4 linked regions of the Arabidopsis thaliana genome follow. The protein of the gene in region 1 interacts with the protein of each later gene in a pairwise test. Each region holds a gene or a part of one and is shown in the gene's direction. Other genes may lie near its edges.

Region 1 (5,588 bases):
CTTCAAATACTTCAGCTCCGATGGAATCTTAAAATATGATTAATGTCTAGTACGATTTGCTAAACAGATCTTAAGAACAAAGAAGAATCGCAAAGAGAAAATCGAAGAATCTAGCGAGTACAAAACCTGGAGGAGGTATGGTTTCCACCCACGAGGAGAACTATAGATATTTGTGATCCAAACCAGACCCTTCTTGGAACCCTAATCGACTTCACCTCCGTCCCCATTCTCACCGTTCGATCCACCATGCAGAAAAAAAAGAAACAAAATCTCGTCTTACATGCTTGTAGAAATCTAAAAGCTAAACACAGTTTCTTGATTGTGTTTGAGAAATGCTTATAGATTCGAAGGGTTTGGGACTATGGTTTCGTGATTCTCTTCCTCTGTCTTGTTTTTTTTTTGGGGAAGAAGAGTGAGTGAGGAAGCGCTTTTAACAGATTTAATGGTGAAGCTAACCACAATGTTAAAATTCTACCGCCACAATATTGCCACGTGACAAGAATTTATGCTAATGTTAAATGTTTGACCGTTTGTGATTATACACATACTACGTGGATTTCGTTTTCATGGTCTTCTATGATTATTGAGTAGTAGTACCAAACTACCAATAATCGTTTTTTTAAACAGAATAAGTGAGAATTGTTTATATCGCTAATTTGTTATTCAATATTTTTGACAAAAACGAGTGGCTCCCACTTATTGTCTGTGCCTTCGAAATAATTATTTGATGTTGAATTTGGCTGTTGTCCCTACACAGTGTCCATATCCGTGTGGGTGGTGAACACATACGTGTTGATCCCAAGTAGTTTCTGTTTTAATTTTCTTAAAAAGTTTTTAGGAAACTAATTTTTTTGAATGGTTGTAAAAAAGAAATAATATTGTACGCTAATCATATTAATCATCCAACCTAGCATAGATAAACTCTCTTTTTTTTTTTTTTTTAAGTTAGCAAAAAAAAACTCTGAAAATTTGTAAAATGTAAACCTATTATGTTTTGGATCGAACACGAGTCGAGTGGTGGCCACACAGTTTTGGCTAAGTTGGGCCGAGTTGGGCCTTCCACAATTATTTTTTTGCTTTTGATATCGTCACCGTCCCATTTTCTGTCAAGCATGATTTCATTTCATCTTTCATGTGCTTCAGCCTTCAGAGTATAGCACTAAAAATGCTATCAGATTTGTAAGATTACATGCTCTTTCGACACGTCGTTGATATAGTTTCGTGAAAAAAAATTCACATTGTTAACCATCTTATAGTCATTCATATCATAAACATAATCTATACATTTAGTCGGTTTGATGTACACTTGTACATGTGTTTGTTGAGACATCGATCCTACTTAGGTGTGATGCGTGTTACATTTTGCCTTATCCATTATTTCTTTGTTTGTGTCAGCGTAACTACCATATTTTGCGTTATGAGTCGTTCTTATCTCGACAGAATTTTAAATTGTTGTCCAAAGGTTTATCACTCTCAATGTTATTTACTTCTTTCTCTCGAAATGTTATACTTTTTCTCCTTTTTCCCAATTAATAAATAAATTACAAAAGTATTTTTTTTGTTGTTTTATCTTTCAAAAGCAGTATAAGATAAACTCAGCATTGCACATCTAAATAAGTAAAGACAATCTGTATTTTTCTTCCAACAAAATTTTCATACATAATATTTTTTTCCTAATCTCTTTTTCTGTTATAAATATGTTCAGATTTTGTTTTTAAAAAATTCATTGTTTCTTTTTTTTGTTTAATCAGATTTTGTTCCAAATATGATCAGAAATACACATAACCTATTTGTGAAATGTTCTAAAACATTCAGCAGAAGTTCAGATAATATCCATAAACCATTTTTGAATCATTTTTTAAAATGTTATGAATATCTGTAATCTGTACATACATTTGAGTGGGCTGCCATACTTGATTACCTTCTTACTATTGCTTTACACATTTGATGCATTCAAATTTTTGAATAGAAACATGATTTTCTTTTTCTTCTTTCACAAGAATGTTGAAGACAATTTTTATTTGACATGTAAGCTGGAAATTTTGATTCAAAATTATATGCACCACTGGTTAAAGATATATACCAAAATTAGAAAAAAAAAAGAGGTTATTACTTAAGTAAGTAATAGAGACAAAACAATAAAAATAAAAACCGCCGAATCCAATTTACTTCTTTAGTTGAGAGAAACGGGGCAGGCACTGAGTAAGCACACAAAATTGAAGCAACCTATATGAGTGTTCTTGATCAAAAGCTTCTTTCTCAGATTATCATTTCTCCTAAAAATTAGTCCTTTTAAGCAAATTAATCCCAAAGATTGATACTTTGTTTTCCTGAGATTCTTCTTTTACTTCACTGTTTCTGGGTTTTGTAATTTGATGGTGATGGATGATAAAGATAAATATCGCGAAGTAGTAGAACATTGGTCTTGCGAAGGTACTTCTCCAGCTCTAATGGTGAGTTTTCTCACTCTTAAGTCTTAACTCAATTCCCAAAATTTTGAATTTTTCCTGAAAGATTCATGCTTTAAGCTAATTTCAGTGGTTTTTAGTTCATGGGTATCTCAAAATTGATCTTCTTTTTCTTTCTTTCTGATTTAGCTTAGCTCTTGAGAGTTTAGGGTTATAAGATCAGGGTTTAAGGGATTGTTTTGATCATTAGTACTTGTTGAATTGTCACTTGTAAATCATGGAACTGCTTCAATTATGTTTTCCGGAGATTCCAGGTTTAAGGCACACATTTTTGTGAAAATCTAGGGATTGTAATTGCTCATTGAGGAACATGAGTTTTCAAGGATCCAACTTTGTGAGGAACTGATACAAAAGTCTTCTTTTGAGTTTTCCAGGTTGGAGATTCTACTGAGATAACAGAAATGCTATCACCGAGCCAACATCAACGATGGCGAGGCCTTGTGTTAGATATACAATCGAGAGAAGCTCATGGCGATTTCTTGAGAGCAAATGGTTCCTTAATTCATAGCCCCGTTTCCAAAAGGTTCAAGTTTTCTCCAATGTCCAGCCCTAGAACTGGGAGACGTGTTGGATCAATGAGTCCTTCCTCGTCAAGAAACAGAACGAATCAGAAGAATTTCAAAAACAGGAACCACAGTGCAGATATTGAGGAAGGTGTTGTGTCCCCTTTAGGAGATGGTAGTGATAAGTCTTATATTCCAAGAACATGGTCTCTCACTAATCTCTTAGCTCCTAGAAAATCTAAGAAGACAGAGTCTTTTATAACTCACTCAAACCCTGAGTCCATGAACGGGAGGTATGCCGTTGAGGTTGATCCGGTTACATCCATGGTCAGTATTCTATCTTACAAAACTTGGTTATACCATTAATAAGGGAGATTATCTTGTTGAGTATTTCAGTTGATGAATTGATTCATTTTCCATTTGTCTTAGCTTTAGAGAAGCTGTTTATCTTCTGCTTTACTTGATTTTACTGTTCTTTTTACTAGAAAGGGGAGCGTTTACTGCCTATTCGTCGTACACGCTCTGTCCCCACATTCTTCAACAAAGATGGAAGTGTAAAGCCGTCAAGTGTTTTCCGCGTGATTCCTACTCCGTCTCGTGGGGATGAGAAGAGACTAGAGATGACGCAGGCATCGAAATTGAGTAAACTCCACGGTTACAAATCACCTTCCCAGACATATCTTTGTGATGCCATATTTTGACTCTATGTAACAAACTATGTGATATGTGTTCAGATGAAAATGATGATGGTGGAGAAGATGTTCCTGAAGAAGAAGCTGTGTGTAGAATCTGTATGGTTGAAATGGAAGAAGATGAAGAAGCTTTTAAGATGGAATGTATGTGCAAAGGGGAACTAGCTCTTGCCCACAAAACGTGCACTATCAAATGGTTTACAATTAAAGGGAACATAACATGTGATGTGTGTAAGCAAGAGGTGAGAAATCTCCCGGTTACCCTTCTACGTGTGCAGGATTCTCAAAACCGTTCTAGAGCAGCCAGGGATATCGAGATTTCACGGTTCAATAATGTATGGCAAGATATTCCAATTCTTGTCATTGTAAGCATGCTTGCATACTTCTGTTTCCTTGAACAGCTTCTGATTATAGATATGAAATCTAGCGCCGTTGCAATAGCTTTACCGTTCTCTTGCATTATCGGTCTTCTTGCATCAATGATATCAACAACAATGGGTAATAAAGAAGCTACTTCGAAATTATATATTTTTTCGTATTCTATATTGATCATCAGTCTTAAGTGGTTTGGTTTGTTGCAGTGAAGAAGAACTATGTATGGATCTACGCCACCGTTCAGTTCGGTTTTGTGGTCCTTTTCGCTCAGCTTTTCTACAGAGTTGTAAGATTTGATGTAATGTCACAGAGAAACCTTACTTTGTTGTCACAGAGAAACCTTACTTTGTTGAAGAGTTTTTGATTCCTCACACTCTCTCTCATTAACTTGTGTGTAGGTGAAGCAGCCGGTAATGTGCATTGTCTTAGCCACTATGATCGGATTTGGACTCACCATGACCGGCACAACAGCTATTAACGAGTATTTGAAATGGAGGAGAAGCAATTCCCACCTGCCAGAAGAGCCAGCAAGTACTCAGGTGGTTTGACAGCAGCGTAGATCTTTTGAGTGAAGCTAGAGTCCCTAAAGGGTTGGATCGGTTTTCAATTAACCGGTCGGGATTCGGTTTTCGGTTTAGCTTTAATCGACTTGTCTAGGTTGAGATCAGATTTGGTTTTCAATACTTCCAAGTCTTTTTTTTTTTGCCAACTAAAATATAAGGAATGATGATAGGCACACACATGACACATAAAATCATAATGAACAGTAGTATGATTAGCAATCCATATTTCTTGGATAACACTTCTTCACAGCTTTTTTGACAGGTCACTATAACACCTTTTTCAGTTCATTTTTCATTTTCAATCCTCACCCACCCAAACTCTCCCTTCAAAGCAATGTCTCTCCTCTCTCTTTCTCAATTCAAACAAACTTTATTAAACCTAAAAGAAACATTTCCAATCTCTAATGACTTAGTTGATAGAATCTCATTTAGTTACCTAGTAATAATCTTCACACTAGTAAGAGAATCCTACTCTTCACCAAACTACATCTCTCTCTATATAACAAACCCCAAAACATCTCAACATACACACACAACAACTACAACAATGGCTACTTCAAGAACATTCATTTTCTCTAATCTCTTCATCTTCTTCCTCGTTATAGCCACTACTTATGGTCAGGCTCCAGCTCCAGGCCCTTCAGGTCCAACGAACATAACCGCAATCCTAGAAAAGGCTGGTCAATTCACATTGTTCATAAGACTTCTTAAAAGCACTCAAGCCTCAGACCAAATCAACACTCAGCTCAATTCTTCCTCGAGTAATGGCTTAACCGTGTTTGCCCCGACTGATAACGCCTTCAACAGCCTCAAATCCGGAACCTTAAACTCATTGTCTGACCAACAAAAAGTTCAGCTTGTTCAGTTCCATGTCTTACCTACACTCATAACCATGCCTCAGTTTCAAACCGTTAGTAACCCTTTACGCACGCAAGCTGGAGATGGCCAAAACGGTAAATTCCCTCTTAACATCACTAGCTCCGGTAA
Region 2 (4,035 bases), on another chromosome or scaffold:
AAGGATTTTGTTAACGAAGTGGTGTATTCATATTTCAAAGGTACATTTGCAACACCATTGATTCTTTATTCCAATTCTTATCTACGTGTGTGTGTGAATGAAACTTGAAACCAATACAAGTCACTAATGCTCTCAGATTATGTAATTGGGCTTTACTGGGCCGTTTATAAAATTGGGCTAGAAAAAGGGAGACAGCAGACGACAAGAGCATCCTTGTTCTCTTTAAACCCTAAATTACAAGCAAATCACCAACAGAGAGAGTAATGGCGAAAAATTCTGGTAGCTCGTTTGAAGCAGAGAAATCAGAGGGAAAGTGTGTTACGACGACTACTGAAGCACAAGTAATTCAAAATTCTGGCTGATGAATTATGTATTTGATTTTACGTATTTGTAATTCACTAATTCTCACTGATTCATACAATTTGTGTCGTAAATGAACAGCAAAGTAGTCAACCTGTTTTGAGCAAGGAAGAGGAGAAAGTGAGAGATAGCTACTTGTTCTGCTGTGAAAATTTCTACACTCTTCCTGAGATGATCAATTTCATGAAGGAGATTCATGGTGTAGAACAAACCACTGTGACAAAGGTTTTCAGGGAACTTTTAAAAGGTAGAAAAGCTGAAGCATATCTCAGAGAATCTCAGAAAAGAATGAAGGCAAGAACAACAACAACAACTTGAACAGAGGAGGATGAGGCTTAGGTTGCTCTAATTTGAAATTCTTTGGTTTGGTTTACTGGTTAGTAAGAAATAGACTTGTATTGTCACATTTTTTTATCATATTTTGAGGTCCATTGCTTTGGGTGTATGGACCAGACTAGGACAAATGAATAGGAGATGCAAAAGGGTAATAATGGAGAAGTCAGTCTTGTTGGTCTATTCTTGTCCGAGTCCATGATTTTTAGAGGGAGAACTAGAAGGAGGAACTAAAAGTTGTTTAGGTTAATGGTTTAGGTGCTAAGTGTTGGCTCTGTGTGTTACTTATGACTCGTGGGATCTAATGTCTTGTGAAAAATCACTTGTGAGATAAAATGGACATAGTCTAGAGAAGAAGGTATATAAGAAGAAAAGCAGTCAACTTAACTACAAAATCACAACGGCTCACAACTGTTTTATGTTGTAGAAGTTGGTTGCTTCTTAGAGTGGTTCATTCTTCATTACCAGCTAACCGCAAATAACCGTGACTTGAAGTCTTTCGAATTACACTTCTTTCACTCGTGGTTCAAACTTCTTCTGTTCAAGTTGTTATGCCTTCTCCAGCCATTACTTGATTTCAAAATGGTGTTGATGGTCTCATTCTTGAAGGCTTGGATGTTTCTCAACTTTTTGCTCTTGAACAAGAGCCAAGAGGTGATGGGACTCCGTAGTACAAACACAATTTAAGAACGTTTGAGTAAGAGTTTTGATTCACATTGAAAAAAAAACTTAGAAGAAAAAATGAACCAAACTAAAATAATCAAATTAATTTAGTTTATTAATCAAGAATTAAATCAAGTTTTAATAATAACCTGAATTGTAGATTTTTTTTCTTTTCTTAATAGTCGAATACTGAACACTGTAGTATTAAATGAAAACTCAAAGCCCAATATAATTCAAAGCCCATCGAATCAAATATCTGGCCACTCCACTTATTCTTAACTTGAAACTTAAAAGCCGAAATCGTAAAGAGAGAATCTGGTCGGAATAATCCACTCGAATCTTAAAACGACGTCGGTTTAACCAAATGCGAGTCAACGGATGCTGCTGCAATGCGTCGTGTTGTGTTCGTCACTCGCCGTCGTCGTCATCTCCGTCGCTTCGACCTCTCCCCTCGTTGGTGTTCACCCTTTAGGTTACTTCTTCGATGACTCTTATCTTTATTATATCGACAAATCTGAAAAATGTTCTTGTTCTCTGATTCTTACTTACTTCTTTGTTGTGAGGCAGATGAAAAGTATTTCGACTCAGATGTTATCAAATGCAAAGATGGCTCCAAATCTTTCACAAGAGATCGTCTCAACGACAACTTCTGCGATTGTCTCGACGGCACCGATGAGCCTGGTACACACTTTTTTCTCAATTTAGAATCCAGAGAGCTGAGATGACATGAGACTTTAAATTCTTTCCAGATAAAAAGATTTAGGACTAGAATTGATCGAATCTTATTCTCTTTCACAATTTCAATTATGAAAAATGTGTTCTTGTGAGTAAGTTTCTGAATTTCTGATTTTGCATTACAGGAACTTCGGCATGTCCAAATGGCAAATTTTACTGTAGGAACATTGGAAGTTCTCCAAAGTTCGTTTACTCTTCTCGTGTGAATGATCGAATCTGTGGTCAGTAGTTACTAATGTTCTGAATTCGACTAAATGATTCTCGTTTCAGCTGTCTCTTGCTGTATGCTAGTAATCTACATGTTTTTGTTGGATTGGATAAGCAGCATGACATTGTCTGTTTCTCAGATTGCTGCGATGGAAGCGACGAGTACGAAAGTAGCATTCATTGTCCCAACACTTGTATAATGGGTGGTAACGTTAACTACATCTACAAACCTAGAGCCAACCTTAAATCTATACACTTGCAACTCGGTTCAACGCCTCATCCAAAGGAGTTTTATACTATAGGAAATCTTCAGGACATGGTCAAGAATCTACAAGGTTTTGCAACTTTTCTTGGGAAGCTTATTTGTTTTGTTTGATTGTCTAGCAAACTGATACAAAAACAATTGTTGTTGTTGTTGTTTCCAGGTATGAAGCTTGTTTTCGCTCTTCAGATGGTTTTTATCGGTTTCTTAGTGATCTTATGGATGCTTAGGAGTCGTGCTCGGTCTAAGAGACGACGCTATCTGCTGAAGAATGTACCTCCCATTAATAGATCAGCTAACTAACTCCCTGGAACTTGTATTATACTTTTGTGAAGCTTTTACGTGGAACCTGAGTGTTAAAGCCACATATGTCAAGTGTCATTACTAGCTATACTTATTCAGTGTGAGATTGTTTGTTCCTAGTTACATAATTGTCTTGGTCTTCATGTTTATTAAGCCTTCAGATCCTCAGACCATAGTAGGTACCGATGAGTCTTATCACAAGTAAGATAGTCACATGATCTGCAGATTTTCTAGAAAATGGATGGATTCACAATTTGAATGATCTCATGGTGAATTATTCGACTGATATAAGGTTTTATGAAAATGAACTCTTGTTTGTTTCTCACAGACAAAATCAATATACAAAAAACATTACAAGCCATTGAAGAGAAGAGAGAAATTTACAGTTAAAAAATCCTGAAAAAATGATTTGTAAACTCAAGATTGGAAACATCCACAAGTTGCCTTTGGAACAATTCTAATGGCCCAGTATTTTAGCAGCCGTTTCTTCTTGCTTCTCCACGCTTACCTTCAATCATTGCACTTCTTTCTTCTGCTTCCTTGTGAGTCACTGAAACCTAATTCATCCTCTCTGCATACTCCTGCTTTCTTCTTCTCTAGTTCCTCCTGCAGTGAAACAAATTCACAAACACTTCACTTCTCATTGTTCTCAATCACATTGAAACAGTATCAGCTCTCTATTGCTAAGTTTATTTTACCTCCATTTTCTTGAGTTGCACTTCGACAGCTGCTTTCTTCACTTCTCAACGGAAAACTAGTCACATAGTTTAGTTTAAGGTCACCTCTAACGAGTGAAGCAGACCAAGATTTCGCCAGTGCAGATTCTGTAAGAATTTTCATTCTACTAAAACATAAACAGCAATATGCCAAGCCTTAACACAAAGAGTGTCACAGGTAAACACATACAGAGCAAATGCATGATTCTGTCATAAAGCTTCAAATTTAGCTGTAATATATTACCTCCATGGATGTGTATTGAATCGTAAATAGGCCGCTTCTCTCTCGAAACAAGAACTAGCAATGGTAGCCTGATGTCAACGTATGTTGTATGAATCAAGTCCCCAGTGCAACTTGAAGGTAAAAGAACTTCTTCACACTGTTAGGTCGAAAGGTGAAACTTAAAGCTTATGTACTAGACAAGGCGATGGAACTTCTTCACACTGTTAAGGACA
Region 3 (4,836 bases), on another chromosome or scaffold:
AAATCTGCTATCTATCATTAATTAACAAATAACAAACTCGTCTTGTCTATTAACAAATCATCACGTAGATTACTATATATGCACTAGTTTATTATCTCAATTTGATGGATCATTTGCCTTGTCTCTGATGATACAGCCATACAAGGCCAAAGACATGGGCCTTTTGGGTCTATTGTTTTTTTTGGCAGCACGATAGTGTGTAACCAATTTTATCAAACCCACAAATCAGATATGAAAACCCAATTTAGCTTGGATACTTTTGTTTTGAAATAACAAAATTATACTTTACTAAGATTGATGAATAAGTTTGATAGCAGATGTTACAGAAAAAAAGAAGGAAAAGTTTGGTTGCTATTTTCCAAAACTTAAAAGTCCCCAATTCAGAGTTAATCCTAATTCCTATATATATATATATCTTTCTCTCTTCTATAACTACATATGTGTTTAACCAAGTTATGTTCATTTCTCCTAGCTAGAACCAGGTAAAATTTGTTTTATTGAAATAATCTATACAATTAATTGGTAATGAGTAATGCCAGAATCTTACAAAAAAAATGATGGCAAAATATAACAGTTTTTAATGCTAAACAAAATAAGAAGGATCAACCGATAAAGAAAAAGAAATAACGTACTATAATCAATGCTTCTTAAGCATGTGATTAGCTTTTAGTATCCTTTTAATCCTACTATATTATTTGGGAAATACATTTTAAATGTAACCTTAATTTTTGTAATTAATTACATGACAATACCATTAGAAAAATTTAATCAAAAACAAAATCTTTTAATGACATCATTAAGGTTACCAAAATCATTTAACGACAATATTCATTTCTTAATTATAGGGCTTGTTGAATCTAAAGACGGGTCATCAAAGATTTTCTAAACTAAAGCAAAATATACCGAATATTCAAATATCTTTCTGTTACCAAATTATAAACAAATAAGTTCGTAAAACAATTTAATATTTTATATACGAAATCAATAAATCTTAATCACATAAAAATTTGTACAAAAAAAAAGTATTCAACAATTAAAAATTTATCAAATCTCTGTGTTATATAAGTTTTGATATTATATTCGAATAAAGTGTAATATACCTTTTTAATTTGTATTCTTTAACTAATTTAAGCTAACTAATATATTTGCTAATCTTATACCTATTAAAACCGACTATCGTTTCTTATCTCTATAGTATTTTTGCAAGATTTTTTTGGTGGATTTGGATAAAAGTGCATTCGGGTCATATGGTACATTCCCCTATTAAATAAATATGGTGCACTCCTATGTTATTAGCTAAAATGTTTAGAATTCAGAGTCATATCATAAATAAAATTAATATGAATAAAATAAATGGCTTTTTGGCAAGACGGATTTAGAAGGACGGGTTTTTGAATCAACATTAATAAAAAAGTAAAATATAATTAATCCACCGTTTCAATACGGGTAAAATCTTTAATTTATTATTTTTTAAGACCACTAATATTAAACATATCAAATTATCCTAATTTAGAAAATATTATATAAAACCAAAAATGTTATGTGATATGTATAATGTTACTATATATAAAATTAAACTATAAAATATAAATGTATTAGAGAATGATACAATTTGCAAAACTTTTATATATAATAAATAATTCTTAAATTTTAAAAATTACGACTTAAAAAAAAACTCACGGGACGGGTAAAGAAATTACAGAACGAGTTTTATTTTGGAATTCGGTTATATGGTGGATGTATTTGAATCAATATTTATAAAATTATAAAATATTATTAATATGCTGTTTTAATAAGGGTTAAAACTTCAGTTTTTTAACAATTGTCTTATAGATTCGTGGCATAGCGTTACTTAATAACAATTATAAACCGTAAAATATAAATATTTTATAAAAATAAAATTTGCAAGTTTTAATATATATTACCTTTAAAAAATTAATCGTCTCGCGGTATACCACGGGTTAAAATCTAATACATTTGTAAAAGCGATAAATATGAAACGATTTAGAAAAGTCATGTGGATTAGATGGATATATCATGTGAGCCCCTCTTCTTTCCCTCTCTTCAGTCTTCAAACCAAAAAACGAAAGAGACAAAAATACAAAATTGAAACTTTGAAAATATTGAAAGAAAAGTGAAAAAAAAGAGAGTTTAGTTTTTTTAATCATATGGGGTTTATATAGTTTATTACCACACTTCCTCATGTTAATCACTTCATTTATCTCTCTATTATCTCTCTCACAATCTCTCTGGTTTTTGGGCGTTTCTTCGTTGAAAGTTGTTTGCTTTTGGTGAGTTAGAATGGCTTCGAGTGCTTCAAAATTCATCAAATGTGTGACTGTTGGAGATGGTGCCGTTGGAAAAACTTGTATGCTCATCTGCTACACTAGCAACAAATTCCCTACTGTAAGTTTAAAATTTGATCAAGTAAATCACAGTTTCGCTGATTTTTCATCAAATTGTTCTTTCGGGCATCTCCAATTTCGTCACTTTTAGTTGAATATACTTCTGGGTCTGTCAAATTTCAACTCTTTCACCGAGAATTTTAGCATGGTATTTCAAAGTTAGCTCCTTTTTTAGGGATTGTGCAAAAATAATCCTTTTTTGGAGATTCTGAAAAATCTTACATTGTAAAGTTAGTGGCTTTCTTGATTCACCAGTGTTTCCTCTTACTCTATTGCGCATTTGTTGTTCTCGTGAAGTTAAAGATTTGCTTGATGGATTGTATCAGGACTACATACCAACAGTTTTTGACAACTTTAGTGTTAATGTTGTGGTTGAAGGCATCACTGTGAACTTAGGCCTTTGGGACACTGCCGGTAAGTAACATTTCTGTATCCCTCTCTTGAATATCTCAGAATAACCAAGTTCACTAATGTTATGTGGTTCTAATCTTTCTAACATCTAGCAAGTTTGCTTTTGATTTGGGATTCTTAGATAGAGAACTTTATAGGGAGTGTTGAAGATTAGTGACTGTTAAGAGTTTTATGATTATGAGTACCCTTTCATGTTTGCAGGGCAAGAAGACTATAACAGACTAAGGCCTTTAAGTTACAGAGGAGCAGATGTTTTTGTGTTGGCTTTCTCATTGATCAGCCGAGCTAGCTATGAGAATGTGTTTAAAAAGGTTTGTGGAAATTGGATTCATTGTATTTCTTACTGGGAAAACAAAGAATGAAATGTGAATTTCTGATGTTTTTGAAGCGTTTATTTTGTTCAGTGGATCCCTGAACTCCAACACTTTGCACCAGGAGTCCCCATTGTGCTTGTTGGTACCAAAATGGGTAAGATAGCTATAAGAGTGGAGCCAACATATTTCCTTGTGTAATGCTTGAGAATCACATATATGTAATGTTTCTTACAATGTTCCGTTATCTAGATCTTCGTGAAGATAGACATTACTTGTCTGATCATCCTGGACTGTCCCCGGTAACTACATCACAGGTGTGCTTTTTCAACCTGTAGAAACCGAAAAGATTGTTGTGACATTCTCTAGACTCTCTCTTCTCTAGGTTTTATATGATTTAATCATTCATGTGTTACAGGGAGAGGAACTCCGCAAGCATATCGGAGCGACTTATTACATTGAATGTAGCTCAAAAACTCAACAGGTACACTTGTTCATGTGTGTTTGGAAACTTAGGAGTCATTAGTGTTAGGTGACTCTTTACTTGCAAACTATATGCTTTTCTTTGGTTCATGGCTTTTGCAGAATGTGAAAGCCGTATTTGATGCTGCTATTAAAGTAGTAATTAAACCAGCAGTGAAACAAAAGGAGAAGAAGAAGAAGCAGAAGCCTCGCAGCGGATGTCTCTCGTAAGTTCAATAATCTTCACTCTTTTTAATATATAACTAAGAAATTATGTAATACTAGAATTTGGTTATGCAACCTTTAGCTTCTTCATACAGTTTTGTTTGTTTGTGTAATGATTATAGATTGGCTTCTCTATTGTGCAGAAACATTCTGTGTGGGAAGAATTGATGAGTCAATTCCATCTGATGATTGTTCACTTCTTTTTTTTTCTTTTCTTTTCTAATTGGCCAGTTTGTGATTCTGATAAGTCGGAATTACATAGACTCTGGCAGAGATGAGCCTCAATTAGTAGCTTCTTCGATTCTGTTTGTATATGTGACCCTGATGTTTGTTTGTTTCGATTTGGTTTGACCCTTATAGAATTGTTATAGCCATTTTGTAGCCAAAACTTGGAGTAGTTCACGACTTAACGTGGTTAACACTTGCTTCTTTCGAAAAAAGGTGAATCCTTAATCACATATTCGAATTTATTTGGTCCTATTATGAGATCCAAGACCAAACGACAAAAGCGTGACAAGTAAGAAGAAGCCTGTAAATTTCAAACAGAACCAGCACAAGAAGTAATAAATCTACAAACTGGAAAAAGAAAGATAAAAAGAAGTAACTAATCTTGTGTCTATAATACAACCCCCATCACCTAACGCACACATGTAAAGCCACAATGCGAAAGACTTTTTTTTTTATCATTTTGAACACACTCAAAAGCCACCAACATTTGTTTTATCGCTAGTTTTTTGAGCCGGTGTATAGAGATACACACATGCATGAAAAATGACCTAAAAGTGTGTTTTCACCTTTTAAAACTCTTTGTGGGGAGGTGGTGATGCGGGTCTCTCGCTGAGAACCTTGTTGATGACTCTTCTGAAAGAGAATGGCCACTCCGGTGAATTTAGGACTGTTTTTGGAAGATCTACATGATGGTGAAACCAAGAGGTCAGGTTTGTGTTCTTAAAAAGGTTGAGACCACTGTGAAGTCGCAAATTGACTCACCCATGCCTCATTTGTACAGAGCAGGCCAGCCA
Region 4 (4,053 bases), on another chromosome or scaffold:
AAGTAAGGTTCATCGGTGATGGCGAAACTCCTCAGATGGTTGACCTTGGTGCTTACGGCAACTTGTTGCCCGGAAAACCTGTATGGGAAGTTGCTGTTCAGATCGGAGATTCTGGAGATATTCAGGTTTGTCTCAATTCTTTAATGCTAATTCAGTCTCATATATTTGCATATGCATGCATTTACACGAGCAAATGGTGCATACGCATATTTAAACTTACGTATCTCAATGTTTGTCTCGATTGTTTTTCGGTAACTTTGAAGCCTAAGCCGGATCTCAAACTGCCATATTACTGCATGCATCATTTATGAAATATTGTATATCAATGTTTTTGTGTGCAGTGGCATGCATTTGAGTTCGTGGTTGTGTGTACCGGGAAATACGGCGACGTTCCAAGAATACCAGCTTTTCCGGCAAAGAAAGGGCCGGAGATGTTTCAAGGAAAAGTAATGCATTCGATGGATTACTGCAAGTTAGAGAAAGAAGAAGCTTCTACTCTCCTCAGTGGCAAAAAAGTAGCCGTCATCGGCTTCAAGAAATCCGCCATTGATTTGGCTTTAGAGTCTGCTTTAGCTAATCAAGGTACATAGATATCTATGTCTATTTATATAAATTAGCTTCACTCTTAATAATTGGCTGATCAAGTCAAAATAAAGATAAAATATATATACTATATAGTGATAGCAATAATTGTCTTACTTACTAGTATATATTATTTCTTTTCGGTTGGACTTGGAACGTATATGGTTCTAGTTGGCAACAATTAAACAGTTACTCGCAAGTTAATTAAACAACATATTAAATATATATCCTAAGATGACCGATTTCGATCTTTATTTAATCTGATTCCCATAATTAAATATAATATTTAAATTTTGCAGGGGAAGGAGGAAAAGCTTGCACAATGGTGGTGAGAACAACTCATTGGGGGATCCCACATTATTGGGTGTGGGGCTTACCATTCTTCTTGTTCTACTCTTCGAGAGCTTCTCAGTTCCTCCATGATAGGCCTAACCAAAGCTTCCTTAGAACTCTCTTTTGCCTCCTCTTCTCTCTTCTGGTTAGTCATCTTATTACCTTTTTCACTTCTCTATATGCAAAAATCTTGAGAATTTTATAAGTTTCTTAACATATATGTGACAACAGCGTGCCGTAGTTTCCAAGTTCATCGAATCATATGTTTTATGGAAGCTACCTCTTGAGAAATATGGTCTAAAACCAAACCATTCTTTCGAGGAAGACTATGCTTCTTGTCAAATGGCGATCATACCGGAGAATTTCTTTGAGGAAGCGGATAAAGGGATGATCCGGTTTAAGAAATCATCAAAATGGTGGTTTTATGAAGAAGGGATTGTGTTTGAAGATGGGACGACATTAGAAGCTGATGTTGTGATACTTGCTACTGGTTATGATGGCAAGAAGAAGCTCAAAGCTATTGTTCCTGAACCTTTCCGAACTTGGCTTGAGTTTCCAAGCGGTGTCATGCCTTTATACAGGTACATACACATAAAAATCGTCTTTAGATTAATTGAAATTATGTGAAAATGCATTAGTTGCACACTTAAAAAGACGATCATGCTATAATATATAGTTCTATGACTATAAACATATTCAGTGGTACAAGTGGAAGCCTATATATTCTTTTATTAGTATACTCATGAAATTTGGACCGTTGCTTATACAAACTAAATCATTTACAGGGGAACAATCCATCCATTGATACCAAACATGGGTTTCGTAGGATACGTCCAAAGCAGCTCGAACTTACACACATCAGAGCTACGTTCAATGTGGCTAAGCCGGCTAGTGGATGAGAAATTCAGATTACCAAGCAAAGAGAAGATGTTGGATCAATTCTTAAAAGAAATGGAAGTGACGAGAAACTCAAGCAGATTCTACAAACGTCATTGCATTTCCACGTTCAGCATCCAACATGCTGATGATATGTGCAACGACATGGGACTCAATCCTTGGCGTAAATCCAACTTCCTCCTTGAAGCTTTTAGTCCTTATGGTTCTCAAGATTACCGACTCGGTCAAGAAGAAAAAGAAGATATGACTGCTTAAACTAAATTGAATATATATTACAAAATGAAATTGTTACGAATTGTTGTGTGATGGATGTATAATTAATGAATAAATAAATGTATGTGTAAAGTACATGATATTTTATATAATAATATTGTATTATTGTATGACCTTGGTCAAGGATTATTTTCAACTAGTAATTATGAAATTCCAATTTTGTCCTTTTGGTCAACGAGAAGTCAATTTAGCAATCGCTTCCTTCATGACTGGAATCATCATTGAACCCTAAACCCTAATTGATCGGCCAGAAATGGAGGGTTTGGAGAAGTTTTACAGCAAGATGGTGAAAGAAGCGAAATCGGCAGCTTCTTCTTCGTCGTCTTCTCTATCTGATTTTGCGGATAATCTGATGCAAGACAAACGAGCCGCCGCCGGCAACTTGACTACTACATACGACGCAGGATCCGGCACTCTGGTAACCAGACCTCCCAGGTAAGCTGCTTCTATTCAATATTTGTTCGAAAAGAGATCATTTTGCCAGTAAAGCTAAGAACTTTTAAGAATTTTGGGTGAGTGAGTGAGGGCATGTCTCCAATTTTTCAGATTCTCTCTAATTATGGGAAGGATGATAATAATAATCACTATTTCTGTGGATGGATTATGAATTGGTCTGCCTGCTTGAGAGAAATTTTAAAAAGATGGAACAAAAATGAAAAAGAGGGCAGATTTTGTGTTATAGCTCAAAACCTAGAGACCATGATGATTTCCCAGTTCCACATCACACAGAGCTTGTAAATTTGTAATGGCTTGTTCAAATGATCTAAGATCTTAGATACCCGAGGAACAAAACTGTGCAGGTCGATTATAGACTATCTAGTAGGAGCTTTGGGTTGTTTCTGATTGATTCGACTAATATGTAATGGCTTTACGTGTTTTGTGTACTATTAGTTCTAATTTAAGAAAATTATCTGACCTATCTTGGGACTGTGTTTGGTGGCAGCGGAGTTTCGGTCTGGACGTGTTCAAAGTTGTGCGCTGTTTTCTTTGTCGCTGGAGTGTTTGTGGGTTATACACTTAAGAGACGGGTTCGACGCTGGGCTTCTAAATTACTGAGAAGAATAAAGGATGATTAACTCCAACCTCGTCTTCTACTGCAAGTTTTGGTACACTTAGCACAAAGGCATTACTCTATTCTTATCCTTGAATGTGTTTTAGTACCAATATACTGTGCTGAGGCACCTTATCAATGAAAATTTGTTGTTTGCTTCTCTGCCTTTGTGACTAGTAGCTTGTGGTAATGGAAAGAGAGATTGAATCATCTTGGGAAAGACACGTATATTATTTCGTATAGTAACTTAGATTTGTTATTTTCATGCCTTTAGGCGGGGTCTATACAAACAGGCAAGACAATGTTTCCTTTTTTAACATAGTGTATATAATCTACTTTGCTAAGTGACTGTGAAGTTAGTGTGAAAAAAAATAATGGCGGGCTGGATTTGAATCTCACTTTAGGGAAAGTGATAGAAGCTGGCTTGTAACATTGAATTAGAAATGCTCCTTATGGAACTCGAACCGTGTGGTTGTTTTTTGACTCATGTCTTGTGCTTGCTTCTTCAACTCCTTTGCCACGGTTTGTATGCCGCAGTAAAACACTCCTGCACAATTATATAAATTGTTTTCACATATGCTTCGTAATACCTGGCCTAAATATTAGCAGACATGTTCATGTGTTTGCATGTGTCATAATTCCTATTGCAAGTTTTCTTTCTTTTCCAATGGTATTAATTCGTTAGTCCTAGAAGAGAGATTTATAAGATGTCTTGATGGTAAGCAGCTGATTGTATAGAATAATTACCGACTGTCGAATTTGGATGCTTTCTTGCTATGCTACTGAAGACTTCCTTCCAGTTGGGCCTTGCAAAATGTGTTCTCACCTGTTTGAATGATGTTATTTTGTCAGTTATAGGTAATATTGGCAAATAGTTTCTGGTTATATGCCCTGCATCAATTCTTACCCGTGTTCCG

Evidence for each region.
Region 2: the proteins of AT5G03180 (region 1) and AT2G42390 interact in a protein complementation assay, tested with the Arabidopsis thaliana proteins (one large-scale study listed by BioGRID).
Region 3: the proteins of AT5G03180 (region 1) and ROP10 interact in a protein complementation assay, tested with the Arabidopsis thaliana proteins (one large-scale study listed by BioGRID).
Region 4: the proteins of AT5G03180 (region 1) and AT1G19240 interact in a protein complementation assay, tested with the Arabidopsis thaliana proteins (one large-scale study listed by BioGRID).

What each region holds. Positions count from the first base shown.
Region 1 is NC_003076.8:753,199-758,786, reverse strand, and holds AT5G03180 (RING/U-box superfamily protein), read left to right. Parts: upstream 1-2,153; 5' UTR 2,154-2,375; coding exon 2,376-2,453; intron 2,454-2,842; coding exon 2,843-3,298; intron 3,299-3,456; coding exon 3,457-3,625; intron 3,626-3,705; coding exon 3,706-4,161; coding exon of another isoform or gene 4,162-4,244; coding exon 4,245-4,336; intron 4,337-4,436; coding exon 4,437-4,586; 3' UTR 4,587-4,947; downstream 4,948-5,588. Other genes in the region: CPUORF47 (peptide upstream protein), read right to left, coding at 127-248; FLA11 (FASCICLIN-like arabinogalactan-protein 11), read left to right, coding at 5,149-5,588.
Region 2 is NC_003071.7:17,650,209-17,654,243, reverse strand, and holds AT2G42390 (kinase C substrate, heavy chain-like protein), read left to right. Parts: upstream 1-1,600; 5' UTR 1,601-1,734; coding exon 1,735-1,828; intron 1,829-1,923; coding exon 1,924-2,037; intron 2,038-2,216; coding exon 2,217-2,312; intron 2,313-2,438; coding exon 2,439-2,633; intron 2,634-2,723; coding exon 2,724-2,863; 3' UTR 2,864-3,138; downstream 3,139-4,035. Other genes in the region: AT2G42395 (uncharacterized protein), read left to right, coding at 264-341, 442-678.
Region 3 is NC_003074.8:17,729,260-17,734,095, forward strand, and holds ROP10 (RHO-related protein from plants 10), read left to right. Parts: upstream 1-2,077; 5' UTR 2,078-2,301; coding exon 2,302-2,406; intron 2,407-2,731; coding exon 2,732-2,819; intron 2,820-3,017; coding exon 3,018-3,127; intron 3,128-3,220; coding exon 3,221-3,284; intron 3,285-3,379; coding exon 3,380-3,444; intron 3,445-3,545; coding exon 3,546-3,611; coding exon of another isoform or gene 3,612-3,653; exon of another isoform or gene 3,654-3,712; coding exon 3,713-3,816; intron 3,817-3,957; coding exon 3,958-3,982; 3' UTR 3,983-4,254; downstream 4,255-4,836. UniProt on the Arabidopsis thaliana protein: Acts as a negative regulator of abscisic acid (ABA) responses.
Region 4 is NC_003070.9:6,648,670-6,652,722, reverse strand, and holds AT1G19240 (uncharacterized protein), read left to right. Parts: upstream 1-2,276; 5' UTR 2,277-2,338; coding exon 2,339-2,520; intron 2,521-3,028; coding exon 3,029-3,161; 3' UTR 3,162-3,480; downstream 3,481-4,053. Other genes in the region: FMO1 (flavin-dependent monooxygenase 1), read left to right, coding at 1-125, 342-582, 882-1,060, 1,147-1,496, 1,701-2,067; AT1G19230 (Riboflavin synthase-like superfamily protein), read right to left, coding at 3,574-3,683, 3,884-3,962, 4,044-4,053.